Arabidopsis thaliana: one gene and its partner. The protein of the gene in region 2 binds, or shares a complex with, the protein of the main gene of each other region. Each region holds a gene or a part of one and is shown on either strand. Other genes may lie near its edges.

Region 1 (8,744 bases), on a different chromosome or scaffold from region 2:
CTTCCGATTATGGTTGATTGTGGTTAAAGGACCAGATGATTGATAGAAAGTGCTTTGGTCGTCGTAGTCATCGGTGACTTTGTAGTTGGTTCTGAGGGCTACGTCATTGATCCTTGTAATGGGACACACATAAATGCCAATGGAAGTCAGAGTGCCATAGTTATCAAAAGACCCAAAGAAACCACCAAACTCACGACGATCACGTATCTTCACATCAATTTCCACCTTATAGTTATCCATAATATTCTTTGATGATGAATATCTATCACAAATCGGGCCGTGTTTCCCCTGATTAGTGTGAATATTCAAATTCGTGATCCCTTTACAAAGATATATTGCACTCAACCCGGTCACAAACTCATCGTCATTTAGTCTCACCTGTATATTGCATAAATTTGTTTTAACGTGGTCATCAGTAACAAGAGCAAAAACAAACTATACATGATGAACAACAATGTTAATTACATAAACAAAATGTAAAGATTCCACTAAGAAAAATTACCAGATATTATAACTATCAGAAGGAAGAAAAAACATGAAGATGTATTATAACAAAACTTACCATTACGTGGAATCGACCGTTGTACGAACCATACTTTTGTTTTTGGGCATCAGACATACCATACTTTTTAGACACGACATGACCTCCGTTCTGACAATAGCTAAACTGAATAGAATTTATGGTATCTTTGTCGAAAGCGACATATATACTAGAGATCATGTTGCGTCCCTTCTCTTCCCATTCCAAATTCTTAAGATAAGCACGTTGTGACCCAATTGGTCCGACTTTGAACATCTCCCTACCACGGGATTTCATTTAGAATATAGCAGACGAAAGAATTAAGCTCGGATTAAAATATTTTCTTAATAAAACAATTTGTTCTTCTGAGGACGATCTATACTTATATATAGACGAAGAAAAGCTTTACATACCTAATCTCTCTAAGAAAACTTCCTTAATCAAAATGTAAAGCAACTTGAAAACAGTAAATTTACTAAATTCGAAGAACAAAAAAGTAACTATAAATATTTAATCTCCTTGCTTATTTGTTATTTACTTTATAGCTATAGTTTACCTATTTAAAGCTATATTCATCTAAGGATACTAGTAATAGTTAAAGCCTTTTTTTTTCTTTGCTAACAGTTAAGATGCCGATTTTCCATAGATTTAAGAACATTAGATGCGTCTAAAGATTTTTCCAAATATTTAATTAAGATGCTGGTTCCTTCCGTCTATAGAATTCGTGAGCCAAAAAGTCATAATACGTTATTAGTAACAAATGATGCATCATCTTTGGGTATACTATACATGAAATGATTCGTGACTTCGAATTTTGTCATTTAAACATTTCGTTTTTCATCACAAGAAAATGGAGCACAAATTTACAAAAACAAATAATAAAGGAAGAAATGGGACCATTTTTTATTATTACTTGAGAGTTGAGAAATAGAAAGATGATTGATCCAAAAATGCTACTTTATTTAAGATAAAACTCAACAGGCAACTTGAACTAGGCTACAAGGCTTTCTTGGTCAACTGTTTTCGCGTTTAACAACCATGTCGAGACTTGTAATGGGTCTCAAATACATACCAATCGATGTCAGATGGTATAAATTGTTAGACCCAAAGAAACCACCAAACTCACGTTCATCACATATTGCCGGATCAATATCTATCTTCCAATGATTTGGATAATTGTCGCTTGAACGTCCAATCATATACTCCCCGACGTTAGTGCGAAATGTCAAATTTCTGATCCCTCCACCATGCTTTCTTAGTACTCCACTTAATCAAGTTACATATTCGTCTTGATTCAGTCTCAACTGCGTTTAAACTTCATCAAAAACAAAACTTGACCGGATCTTACGCAAACGCAAAAATAAATAATTGTTATTGACACAAAACTTACAACACGAAAGTTGGAGCCCTCCTCAATGCCACCATGCTGTTTAGACAGGACTAGAGCTCCATTCTCCAAAAAACCAAACTGAATAGACATTATGACTTCGTCGAAAGCAACATATATGTGAGAGATCTTGCGTCCCTCGTAATCCCAACTATCGTCACCCATCACCTCTTCTCCAACACCGTCGTCCCAATAAGTATACTCACATGTCGATTTTTTTCCCACTGATCCTGCTCTTATCATCGCTATATAAGAAGCAGGCACAGAGTACAATAGTTTTAAGTGGAAGGAGAGATATAGATAGGCGAAAGGACGATTATATAGGAGACTGTCTTGTCCAAAACTCGAAGAGTCGTCATAACTTTCATTTATGGATTCCATTGGGAGAAAGCTAAACAAGTTTCCAGGTACATTAAACAAAACGCTCGAAAATTGTGCTCAAGAAGAAGACTCTTCGTTTGACCAAAACCTCTTATGCCTTTATTAATAACAAACACCAAATTGCGTTGCGAATTGTAAATATACACAGTAGACGTAGAGATTTCTGCAGAAACGTCTATTAGAAGAAAAACAATCAGCAATAAATCAAAGAAGAGGTTCCTTGTTGGTCACGAAATTACAGAAGAAAATCAAAGCTCGGGCTGCATTTGCTCGCACTCTTCTCGAATCGACTGGAAAAGCTGGGTCGAGAGGTAACGTTCCCCGAAGCTCGGGAACACAACCTGAAAACCAAGATTCAGCAACTCACATATCAAACTATACATATGATGAATCTGTTATATTTTTTACTCCATACTAAGCTAAAATCCTTTCACTGATTCCCTACGTTGGGCTATAGTAATTGAATAATAAGCTCCTCTCTTGTTCTTTGCAATGACTAGGGTTTGGTGTGGCAGAGAGATTAAGCTCCTCTCTTGTTCTTTGCAATGACTAGGGTTTGGTGTGGCAGAGAGATTAAGGCAACGTAAACGTTCATTAGACGTATAAACCAAACCAACTACTCAAATACAAATGTTAAAATAAGTAGTAAGACTCTAAAAGGACCAAGGTTCATGATTAGATAACTTAAGAACTCTTTTTCTATATCATTCAGTGGTTGGTCACAGATACAAGACTAGGTTTTGGTCCATAAAGAAATTATGATGAAGAACATTGAGGACTTACGGCTATGAGTTTCCCGGCATTTTCAGGTCTCTTTGCAACCTGGATTGCAGCAGCAGCAGCAGCTCCAGAAGATATACCAACCTGAAAAGGTTATAGTCGTTTACTAATCGTCATAGATTTCTCATATGCATTTACATTCGTTTTCTATCTTTTATAAAGAGTGTTCCCACTAACAAATAAGTCAAACAGAATAACAAATATAGACTAACCAACAAGCCTTCCTGGAGAGCTAGTTGCTTCGAGGTTTCAATAGCTTCCTCACTGGAAATCTGATAAGAAGCAACAAAACAGGTGAAGTTAAAAAGGAAAATTGTTGCTTGCTGAAAGTGAAAAAGATGAATGTATAGTTATAGAGAACCAAACCAACAGATCATACCGCTATGTATTCATCTACAATAGCCAGATCCAAATTCTTGGGTACAAATCCAGCTCCAATTCCTTGAATCTTGTGAGGTCCTGCATTTCAAATACATGTCAAATAAACGCAAGATAAAAAGAATAACGTGCCAGAGAAACAAGAAAAACAAAATCACTGCCTTACCGGGTTTTCCACCAGAAAGTATAGCACTTTCCGTGGGTTCGACACCAATAACCTGGTACAAGTAAACATCAACTAATTAAATATAACTACAAGTACAAGTAAACATCAACTAAATCTAATTACGGAGGTTATAACATCTACAGTTGATTCCAGCTGATATGCTACAAGCCCTCTTGCTATGTACCTTCAATTCAGGTTTTCTTTCTTTAATGAATCGACCAACACCAGTGATAGTTCCACCAGTTCCAATCCCCGCAACCAATATATCGATTTTGCCTCTTGTATCTTCCCAAATCTCAGGACCAGTCGTCTCATAATGAATCTGCATTTAATCTTATATCAAAACACTAACAAATACTTGCAGCTTTTACCAATGGAACCAGTGAATCCCAGATATAATCGTGATGATTCAAAACTGTATACCATAGAAACTCTACAACAATCCAAAAGGAAGTGCGGAAGAATTTCACTATCATCTCTAATGAACCCTTTCACACACCACCTCTTACTACTGTACAAGGCCAGAAGTAATCGTAGCTCATAATTCATGTCACAGTTAGAGAGTATGATGAAACAAGAAGTAATTACAGACCTTGGGATTGGCAGGGTTGTCAAACTGTTGGAGCATGTAGGAATTGGGAGTTTTTTTCAAGATTTCTTCAGCCTTCTGAATTGCTCCAGTCATACCTTTTGCAGGTTCAGTTAACACAAGCTCAGCTCCAAATGCCCTCAAAAGAACCCGCCTTTCCAAACTCATGGACGCAGGCATCGTCAAGATAAGTTTATAGCCTTTTGAAGCAGCAATGAATGCAAGGCCAATCCCTGTGTTCCCACTCGTAGATTCCACAAGAACACTCTAAAACATTTGCAGCAAGAAAACAAAATCAGAGGGCTTGACAGTTGACACTCAATACAGAATCATTCAACAACAATAAAAGGTCAAATCCATAATCAAATACCTTTCCAGGTGTTATAAGTCCTTTCTCTTCAGCATCAGTAATCATACTGTACCCAATCCTGAAATCACCACAACAACACAAGCTCAGAATGTATAAATGTGAAAGATAGCAAAACCAAAATCAAATTATATTTGGATACACAAACCTATCCTTGACACTGCAACATGGTTCCATGATCTCAAGCTTAGCAGCAACACTTGCAACACAGCCCTTGACTACATTGTTCAAGTACACCATCGGAGTTTTCCCAATAAGCTGAATCAATTCATAACATTCAGAAAGAATATAAAAAAATTAGAAACGAAATCAAAATTCAAAGAAGTCAAATTTACAAGACTAATAATACTCAGTTAGTTTATATCTTCCCCTAAATTGACAAAATTGATCACCAATTTAGATTTCCTCTGTCTCTATCCAAATGCAAACGAAACACAATCTAACCTGAGCGGCGTTATCGGCGATATTGAGCCCTTCAACACCAGCTTCTGGCTTGATAGATACAGCCTTGCACACAACATCACTCCGGCTCTGTCTCTTGAGCGTGAAAGCAGCTGAGGAAACATCGAAAGCAGCAGCCTTTCGAGAGGATAAGGAGAGAGAAGAGAGCTCTGGCGAGTATTTGAAAGGACGGTGGCGAGAAGTCAACGGATTAAGGAGAAAAGCAGAGGAAGATGTCGCCGCCATGACTTGCTCTTTTGCTTCAGTGTATCTTCCTCACTTTCCGAATATTGTACACAGAGAGAAGTAGAGAGAGACTAGAGATGCGGTTTAAACTTGAAGACACTGACTGATTAGATGATCGCACTGTAGCTGCAAAACGACGTCGCTGTTTAATTTCTAAATAAAAAAATCATTTTGGCATCTTCTTTCTACAAGATTTATCCTTTTTCCTTGAATGGTAAAACAGAGTATCTGGAGAAAAGAAGAGACTTTGAAATTGAATTAGTAAAGTTTTGTTTTTTACAATCTCACCAACCTACTAGTCTGATCCAACAAGAAGGTGAATATAGAGCACATGTTCTTCTTCATCATGCAGCCCTACCAAACTCTCAAAGGTCAGATAAAATCTTTCTGGATCTCTTTTTGTTCTTTGCCTTCTTTTAATTTCTGGGTAGCTGTTAAAGTTATTACAAACTTTTAGTGTAGTAAGGTACTGAAAGAGACGATTCTTCTTTGTCGTTATCTCTGTCTTTCTATGATTCTATCCATTCGATCCTCAATCTTACAAAAACTCGAACTTTGGTCAGTTTTGTAGACGAGTTTTGTGCCTTTGCTGTTTTTGTCTGATTCAATAAAAATTGACCGATTTGGCAAATTCTTAATCCGATTTGAGACATCGTTTTTTGAGTTTGTTCATTGGTCCACTATTCTCCTACTTTGTTGATTTGACTCTTCCATTTCTGGATTAGTAAGATGTGATTGCCATTAGATTGCGCAAGAAAGGTTCCTCATTTGCTCTGTTTGCCTTTGACTAAACAAATTGTCTGTTTGATTAGTTTTGGATGATAGGTGATGAGATAGTCATGGTTGTTTATTTCCTCCAATTGCAGGTTAGAATTTGCTATCGGATCATCTGCTAAGCTTGGTTTACTCTTCCTAGAACATCGATTGTATCGAGGTTTACTATTGGATCAAAGATGTCTGCAGAGGAGAAGAACCTTATAGAGATCTTGGAGGAAGGTCACAAAGTCGATGTTGTTAAGTACATTGATTATGTCAGTGCCCCTCAAGCTGGTGCTATTGCGACATTCTCAGGCACTACAAGAGACATGTTCGAGGGCAAGACAGTGTTGGAGTTAAGGTATGAAGCATATGTGCCAATGGCCACACGATGCCTCAGCTCGATCTGTACAACTGCTAGATCAACTTGGGATATCCACAAGATTGCTGTTGCTCACCGTCTTGGACCAGTTCCTGTTGGAGAAACTAGCGTGCTCATTGCGGTCTCATCTGTTCACCGTGCAGATGGTTTAGATGCTTGCAAGTTCTTGATCGACGAGTTGAAGGCATCGGTTCCGATATGGAAGAAAGAGGTTTACACTAATGGAGAGATTTGGAAGGAGAATTCTGAGTTTATGGAGAAAAGATTGGAGCTTGCAGAGAAAAGAGACAGCATTGTAAAAAAAACTGTGGTTGAAGAACATAGAAGAAGAGGTTGCTGTGGAAGCAAAGTTAGAGTAGAAGAAGATGAAGAGCATAAAGATATTACAGGAGATAACAAATCTTCTTCTTGATCACTTGTAGCAGTAACACTGTTTCGCTTTTTACTTTCAATAGACAAACTTTCTTAAGCACATTGTTGAATCTAAAGACTTATATGCGTTAGTTGGTTACTGGACTGGGCTTATACTTGCTACTGCTTGAATCTGTAAGAATCTAATCGAAGATACTGCAAGATTGTAATACCAAAGATAACAATTTTAAGGAGAACTAAAATGATGACCTCATCTGTTAAAGTAGAAGAAGATAAAGAGCGTAATGAAGATATTACAGGAGATAACAAATCTTGATTACTTGTACCAAAGAGCAATGTTTCGTTTTTTCTTTCAATAAACAAAATGTCTCAAAGCACATCGTCGATTCTAAAGACTTCAATTCCACTTAGAGTTGCAAAGGTTTCACAGCTTTGAAATTCAGATCTCTCCCAAGTAGATATTTTTATCACTACTGCAAGATCCAATGATAGGCTCGGTTGGGTGGAAAACACACTCATTGACAGAACCGGTATGGCCTGGGAGCTTATATATAGTGCGCCGACTGGTTGTGTCCCAGATATGAACCATACGGTCTGAGCTACCGGCAGTAACTTTTGTACCATCAGGTGACCATGAACATTTCAGCAGGTTCTTCTCAAAGTTGTGTTGATGCCCCTCAAAGATCTTTACACATCGGTTTTGTGGAGCATAAGGACGCATGTCCCACACACAGAGCTTGTTGTCCATTCCATTAGTGAGAAGGTAGGAACCGTCTGGGCTTAAGCTCATACCTGTGATTGTATCTTGATGGCCCTCAAGTGTCATGGTGGCTTCACCTTTTCTCAAGTCCCAAACCTTAACATCATTGTCTACACCACCAGTGAAAATCTTATCAGCTGCATCTGAGAAACTGACTGCAGTGATTTGGTATTTATCAGGAAATGTTTGTATGGCTCCTCTTTGACGCATGTCCCAAAGCTTGGCAGTTCCATCATCAGATCCACTGATGATAAGAGGTGGCCCTCTACGTGTAGGACAGCAAGAATTCACAAACGATGAATGTTCAGCCATCTTCTTGATTTGTTTCCCAGTCTCAACATCCCAAGCCCTTACAGTTTTATCCGGACTAGCTGATACAATCTGGGAGCCATCACTGGTCCAATGAAGATCAAGGATGGCGTTCTTGTGACCTTTCAAAACCATGAAGTTTTTGCAGTCCCCGTGAACTCTCCAGAGGAAGATTTCTCTGTCATGGGATCCAGATGCAATCAGAGTTCCAGCAGGATTGAACTTCATGGTATAGACAGCACTCGGATGTCCACTTAGCAACATGATAGGTGCTTCCAAGCTCGAGGTCCGGTTCTTGCCATTGGGACCAGGTCCTTGAGAAGCACTGTGTGGGACGGTAGACCATTCCATCGGCCTAGGACCTGACAAAGCAGTCTCATTCTCTCTTGACATGATTTCCATCTTAGCCTACTTCTCACTGGTAATCAAGTTAGAACCTGGATTCCATGAGAAAACGAATCAGAAGATTGAGCGAATTATAACAATATTCACACAGCTGTGTAGCTTTTATAGATATCTCAATTTCAAAATTTTCAAGCCATTAATCAATATAACATCCGAAAAGCAGATAGTAAACACCAAGAAGTATCATGAAACCTGCACATTCTAAGTAAAGCCTACAAAAGCAAAAGGTTGCAATGTTTATTCTCAAGCCGCAAGTAAATAAACACAGATCATTAAGAAATCGATATCTCTCTAAAACTTGTTGTGGTTTTGCACCAGAGACGAAAAAAGGACTTCAAGTCCGGTTACAGAGATCTCACAGATTCAATTTTGACATAAAGCAAAGCAACCACTAACACCAAATTTAGTACTAGCAGCTCGATTCGTCTCAAAATCGAAACATACATGCATGATTCACCTCCCATTATATTACAGACAGTGAAGAGTTCAAGAAAAAAAGCTTGAT
Region 2 (6,770 bases):
TTTCTCCAGTCAGCATCTTACCATTCTCCTCAACTCTCAGCACATCCACAAATAGAAACGATTCGTTGCTCCGGAAAGCCGTGTTCAAAGCCAGCGAACCAACTAAGTAAAAAAATTGACCACCACAGTTAACCTATAAAACAAAAAACAAATCTTCCTTGAGTTGTTGTTTCTTAAACAAAAAAAATGTCGGTGTGTATGAAGAAAACATTGTTACCTTCAAAGCAGAGATAGTGATGTTTCGAAAACTTGGGAAACACTATTCATACTCTTTGCAAATTTTCGCTGTAAATAAACAACCAAAAAAAACATTGGTTTTGTTAGAAAAGAAATGAAAAACTCAAAAATATAGAACTGAGATTATAAAGAGTCACTTTTGAAATAGATACACTATCATACTCATCCGGACGTTCTCATGGACAAAGATGATAGTGTATCTACTTTCAAAGGTGACTCTCGATAAATTTGATGAAAGTAAAGAACACAAAAGTGTTTAGATGATGAATTATATTAGACTCTCATGAGAATAAAGATACAAGTTACAATCTCTTAGGGCATCTCCAACCCTACTCTATTTTAGAGTAAAAATACAAAAGCCTTCTCCAACCCCACTCTATAATTGACTCAAAAATAGAGATTTATGCAGATTGACTCTATATATAGAGCAACTCTATTCTCTACTCTATTTTTGAGTTCAATTTTTTTATTTATACTTTAGTCCCTCAAATTTAAACTTTTTATTTAATACATATAATTATTTTACAAACAACAACTACAACACATAATTTTATAAACTTAACAAACAATTAAGTATTAAATTTAAAATAATTTTATAAACTTAACAAGAAACAAGTACCTAATTTAAAATAAACAACATAAAAAAACTAAAACATCAAATTAACTAGTGATTTAATAGTCCGGTAAATTGCTTGTGGATCCGCCAAGATAGTCGAAATATTATCCAAATGAAGTAGATGGAGGAAGAGTTTCTTGATCTTGTCGTTGGACACATCGTTTTTGTAAAAGCCGTACTTGTTCACTCTCAAAATATGCCCGAACATGTGAGTTTTGAAAGGAATCCAAATCACAAAATAAAAATTTGTAATGTTTTATTATTGTTATATGATGTAATGTTTTTTAATAAATAAGTAGTGTTTAATTTAAATAATGTCATATTTTCTGGAAATTTTTGCAAATCTATAATATATGAGGTCAAATTGTAAATTATATAATTAAAAGGAATTAGTATATAAATTAGAAATAGAATATTTTTAAGAATATTCTTTTTTAGAGTAGAAAATAGAGCTATACATTGGAGAGAAACCCACCTCAAAAATAGAGTAACTCTATTTTAGAGGTGGATATAGAGCTATACATTGGAGATGATCTTTATATAGAGAAGGAAGAGATCTAAGTTTCCTAAACTAAAATAAACATATATGTAAATAATATTTTTAGAGATAATATTAAACTTCCTAAACTCTAATATTAACATTTATTAATATTCTTCCAAATTCTTCTAGAATCATATCTTTTTGCCATATCTTGGCTTTGTGATCTCGGTCGATTTTCGGTTCTCTATATTCCAATGGACTCTTTATAATCTCTGTTTCTTTTTTTTAGTTTTTTTTTTTCCTGTGAAACTAATGTTTCTTCTGATTTAGCGATGGTTGATTGTAAGAAAAAACTAGGGTTTTGAATAAGTTTAGAACAAATGAAAACTTCTCTCTATGTTTGAGTTTTATAAGCGACTTTCTTTATTAGAGAAGAAATATCAAAAGTCATTTGCATTGGGAAATGAAAACACTTTAATTACGAAACCAGAACGTCATCAATACTATAGTAATGATGCTTTGTTCTGCCTCGTCCTTTAGTCTTCTTTCTAGTTTACGATGACTCATAATTACTTCTTCTGTGAGATTTTCCCATTTCTCCACCTTCCACGACTCCGGCGACGAAAGTAACCATTAGAAAACTATTGTTGGCGTGAGTTGGTTATACATGGCCCATTTAACAGTCCACTTTAAGGCCCAATTCACAATCCATGTTATTAACAAATATATTAATCCATAAAAGTGTACACATTCTTGATTCGCCTCGAGATAAACTAATCTCTAGTTTCTTCTTAAAGATCGATGAGCTTGATTTCAAGACTTGTTTGATTAGTACATAGTAAAATATTAAGAAATAGACAAGACTTGTTTCATCATCATCAGTTACAAGAAAGAAAGAAATACACATTTGTGTTAAATCACATAATCAGACCACTCGGTTAAATACGATGTCTGGTCCATAGTCAGACAAGGAATCTTATCATGTTTTCTCGGATTCTCTTTCCCACCAATCAACCTCGCCGGATTTCCAACCGCCGTCGTACGCGCCGGCACATCCTTAACCACCACCGACCCTGATCCAATCTTAGCTCCCTCACCGATTGTTATATTCCCCAATATACAACTCCCAGCTCCAATCAACACACCATCACCAATCTTCGGATGCCGATCACCACTCTGTTTCCCTGTTCCTCCCAAGGTCACTCCGTGTAGAATCGAAACATTGTCTCCAACCACCGCCGTCTCTCCGATCACCACGCCCGTCGCATGGTCTAAAAGAATCCCTTTTCCGATCTTCGCTCCGGGATGAATATCGACGGCGAAAGATTCTGATACTCTGTTTTGGATCAATAAAGCTACGATTTTTCTGTTCTGTTTCCAGAGGGTATGAGCTATTCGATGAGCTTGACAAGCGAGGAAGCCTTTGAAGCCCAAGAAGCAATGAACGTAGCTTATACAAGCTGGGTCTCTTTCTTTGACTGCTATAAGATCTTGCTTCGTGGATTCGATGATCTCAGGGCTTTCTTCTAAAACGCTTATGAACAGTTCGAAGAGTGTGTTGCTTGGTAGGTTTAAATTGCTGAGCTTTACGGAGAGGATGTGAGCTAAAGCAGACTCTAAAGATCGATGAGATGTGATCGAAGCGTAGTAGTAGTTTGATAAAATGGGTTCTTGTTTAACATCGGATTTGGCTTCTTCAAGCATCTTGATCCAGACATCATCGTCATCTTCGATTTGGGTGTGGTGAATCTTCCGGTTTACAGAGAAACCGGGTCGAAAGAAATTCTTGATGCAACAGAACCGGGAATCATCGTCTTGGGTATTACCGGTTCGGCATGTGTCTATGCATGTTGCCATGGTTTATGATTTGGAAGAAGAAAGAGTTTGAGATAAAGAAGAGAAGAGAGAATGGTTGTTGAGTGAAGAAGATGAACATAGCTTATATACACAGAGAGAGATGGCGGCGACCTTTGACTCTGACCCAAAAAAATCTCAAAAAGTAATTACAGTTTAATTAGCGCTCTCTAAATATTTTATTCTTTAATTATACACATTTTTCTGCAGATTAAGGAGGTAATGAATTATATAGTAAGTGAGATTAATATATATTTTTTTCCATACACAATTTTATTTTGGAAATGGTTTTATGTTTTTAATTTTATGATTTATTGTCCAGACAATTACGATGTTTACAATTTTGTATTTATTTTTGCATGATTAGTCTGCTTATCTACACATATCTAAGGGTCATTAGCCATCACATGTTTTTAGTGCCACCAACTTTTTCATAACAATAACATCAACTACTTATTATCTAGCTATTTTGTATGATATGTAATATAATTTTTTTTTTTTTGTTGGGTTGTAGAATTTAGAAGGCACTTGTAGTAAAATGGTTATAATTTCCAAATAATGGGGGGAAAAACCAAGAAAATTGGATCTATTATTAAAGTTGCCAAAAGGAGGAGGTTTTCAAAAGGAGGAGGTTTTCAAAGAAAGGTGACGTTAGTAATGACGTAAGTCTAAAGTTACGTGAAGCAGTCGCCCTTTGACTTTAACTCCTTATTTTCAAGGTTGTCTGAATCTAATCATTTTTTCACACTTTAATAATCTAATGCTAATACATGATTAATTTATACATAATTTAACTTGGAACTTTTTTACTCATTAATAATTTGATAACTACGTACGTGTTATTGACTGTTAGTCATAATAGAGTGAGTTTAGTTTACTCTACACACTCCATTTGTGTATATCTTTTTTTCGCGTATGGAAATTGTGAAAGCTACATTATGGTTGAAGATATCTCTATTCAGTACTCAATACTCAATAATGAAACTTGTGTAACTTTTATGATAATCAAATTATTCAATTGGGCAACGTAGATTACGTGACATTGTCATTTGCCTAATATTGTCCTTTGTGCACACCTTTATGTTGATGGATGGATTCAAATAAATAAAATTATCCGTTTTTCTTACTGCAAATAAGTTATCTTATCTTAGTTGGAATTTTGGATGTTTTGAAATGAGAAAACAACAACAATAAAATTCAAAAATATTAAACTTTTTTTTTTAAATGGCAGTAGAATAGTGGTGTCCATTGTTTGAGGACCCAATCTTTCGTTATCATTGTCCCTTATTAGGGTTTCTTTCAATTTTCAACCAGTAGTCAAGTAGATTTGGCTCTTCAAAATCATGAAAACACAAAATACTATTCAGTTAGAGAATTCGATTTGGTTCACAAAGAATATATGAACTTTCCCTTTCGAGTTACACAATTTTTTGGTTTCTAAAATTTATATTGAAAAATGTCGAATATCTCTTAGAATAAATCATATGAATAAATTTTATCTATTTAGCTAAAATATAATTGTGATGTGTTGAAGAATGGAGAATGACATGATGAAGAATGGACACTGTGAAACGTCAGGACACACAAAAAAACAACACAAATAATAAGATTGGAAGAGGATACCAATAGACTGGAACTTTAGTAGCACAATAAGGAGCTAAGATTGAGCATGATGCTTAATGAGGTTAAGTATCTGCTTCCTTGAGTCCTCTATCAGATAAGGGGCACTCGATATGATCCTAAGCTTTTTGATTTGGTACCATCTGCTAACAAAAGCAAAAGCAAAAACATCACCTTTTATGAAACTGAATCGCTGTTGAACCTTAAACATCAATTGATAGACAAAGAGTTTGTCAAAAGATCTTCAGAACCATCCCATTTGATGCACACTATGATCAGAAACAACACATGCATATATACTTCAGACTGAAGATACTATCTACTTTAGGGAAACTCATATTCATCAACACTCTAATGCTTCAACAGGTTTTTTAAACCTGAAAGTAAAATAGCCTCACCATTGCCTAACAAAAAGAACAGTTTTATAAGTTTCACAATTCTAACAAGTCCTAGTGAAACATACGTAATCTATTTCAGGAGCGTGGACATTAACGCACATGATATTTGAACAATTCTTCATTTGTGTTATTGTAGCTTGTTTTAACAGCCACGAATCATGTCTGAATTGATTTAAGAAAGAGCTAGGTACCTGAATTCACACGCGCAGACACACACACACACAATGTATGTAAATGATTGTTCACAAGAGCAGACAAAAACCTCAAAGTCTAACTGGGAAGTTTAGACCGCTTGATCTAATACCAAGGATAGAAAAGCACAATTCTATCAGGTTAGCTAAAGATTCTGCAAAGCAGGATTAGAAAAAAGTATAGCATTCTAGAAATCAAACAATAGAGGCTCTGAGAATGGTTAAGAAGAAGAGCATACCTCGGAAGCCTCAGAGACGAGTTTCTCATTTGACTTCAGGCAATGGGTCTAAGGTTTCAAGACTTGGTAGACGAAAGGGAGTGTTTACAGGACCAGAAGCTGAAACAGCCATAGATAGAAGATGGAAGCAACGAGAACAAAGAGACTCTCTGTGTAGAACAAGACGCCGACGACGTCAAAATTAGAAAACCACCATCAGAATACCAACAAAGAATCTTATTTTCATTCAGCTTCCTCAAAAATCGTTATTCAAAGGAAAAAAGAAAACCTTTTCCAATTTTTCACATCATTGAGTTTACTCATCTAACTTTGTTTGAGTGTTTGCAAAATGAAAATACTATTTCCACCTAATAAAGTTAAAAAGCCTACTACTCTACATAACACAACGTAGCCACAAGTCCAAGTTTGGACACTGTTTATAGAACTTGGAGAATCATGTCCGTTGGCTACCAAAAATGGCTAAGAGTTTGACATTTAGTCCTTGTGGAAGACTGGTAACTCCCTCAAGTGCCGACATTAGGAGCACCAGTTGACAATGGTGCTCCATACGAGTACCTCCACTGACCACAAGCCTCACATTTCTCTAACTTCACCTCATTTTCAAGCGTGCAGAATTTGCAAGACCAGACTTTGTGCTTCATCTCCCTTTCCTTTGGCTTTGCGGCAGTGCATAGCTCACATATTGGAGCCAATGACTGGTAGGAGAAAACAAGACCGATAATGAAAAAACAGTATAGAGACAACAAGAAGCTTCAAGTTTATACACTCTTAAGGAAGACTTACCGGGTTCAATAAGGTGCATTCTGCACACTCCCACATTGTGGATTCTTCTCTGCTTTGGTTTGCATTGTAACTCGTCGATGGCAAAGGAATCGATGACTTCATGACACCAGCGTTCGGTACATCTTTGGCACAAGAAGGACCCTGATCACCTGGGCTGCGATTTCTTTTAGTACATCTTATTTCAAAAGATTCTTCAGTCAAATCAATGACATCTGATCCCTGTTGATGACTGGAAGATGGAGGACAAGAATGGGCATTGGACCAGCTATTACATCGTTTTACTGACTTTCCATTCACGCTCGTACAAGTTTCCCTGATGGAAACAGGTTCCTTATATGTGTCACTATCATT

Evidence for each region.
Region 1: SERAT2;1 (region 2) and OASB share a complex: the UniProt entries of both Arabidopsis thaliana proteins name them as parts of the cysteine synthase complex.

Annotation. Positions count from the first base shown.
Region 1 is NC_003071.7:18,127,068-18,135,811, forward strand, and holds OASB (O-acetylserine (thiol) lyase B), read right to left. Parts: upstream 5,572-8,744; 5' UTR 5,256-5,571; coding exon 5,013-5,255; intron 4,827-5,012; coding exon 4,717-4,826; intron 4,630-4,716; coding exon 4,572-4,629; intron 4,469-4,571; coding exon 4,205-4,468; intron 3,935-4,204; coding exon 3,797-3,934; intron 3,665-3,796; coding exon 3,613-3,664; intron 3,528-3,612; coding exon 3,448-3,527; intron 3,341-3,447; coding exon 3,281-3,340; intron 3,153-3,280; coding exon 3,072-3,152; intron 2,775-3,071; exon of another isoform or gene 2,630-2,774; coding exon 2,537-2,629; 3' UTR 2,368-2,536; downstream 1-2,367. Other genes in the region: AT2G43740 (Mannose-binding lectin superfamily protein), read right to left, coding at 1-435, 563-817; AT2G43745 (jacalin lectin-like protein), read right to left, coding at 1,792-1,824, 1,911-2,288; AT2G43760 (molybdopterin biosynthesis MoaE family protein), read left to right, coding at 6,209-6,805; AT2G43770 (Transducin/WD40 repeat-like superfamily protein), read right to left, coding at 7,205-8,236. UniProt on the Arabidopsis thaliana protein: Acts as a major cysteine synthase.
Region 2 is NC_003070.9:20,908,799-20,915,568, reverse strand, and holds SERAT2;1 (serine acetyltransferase 2;1), read right to left. Parts: upstream 3,454-6,770; 5' UTR 3,408-3,453; coding exon of another isoform or gene 3,399-3,407; 5' UTR 3,334-3,398; coding exon of another isoform or gene 3,292-3,333; 5' UTR 3,192-3,291; coding exon 2,247-3,191; 3' UTR 2,004-2,246; downstream 1-2,003. Other genes in the region: AT1G55917 (uncharacterized protein), read left to right, coding at 3,292-3,333, 3,399-3,407, 3,511-3,521, 3,556-3,580, 3,703-3,729, 3,787-3,833, 4,420-4,444; AT1G55915 (zinc ion binding protein), read right to left, coding at 6,140-6,331, 6,420-6,770. UniProt on the Arabidopsis thaliana protein: Serine acetyltransferase which catalyzes the formation of O-acetyl-L-serine from acetyl-CoA and L-serine. Also displays O-acetylserine (thio1)-lyase activity in vitro. May be involved in detoxification process by mediating the production of glutathione.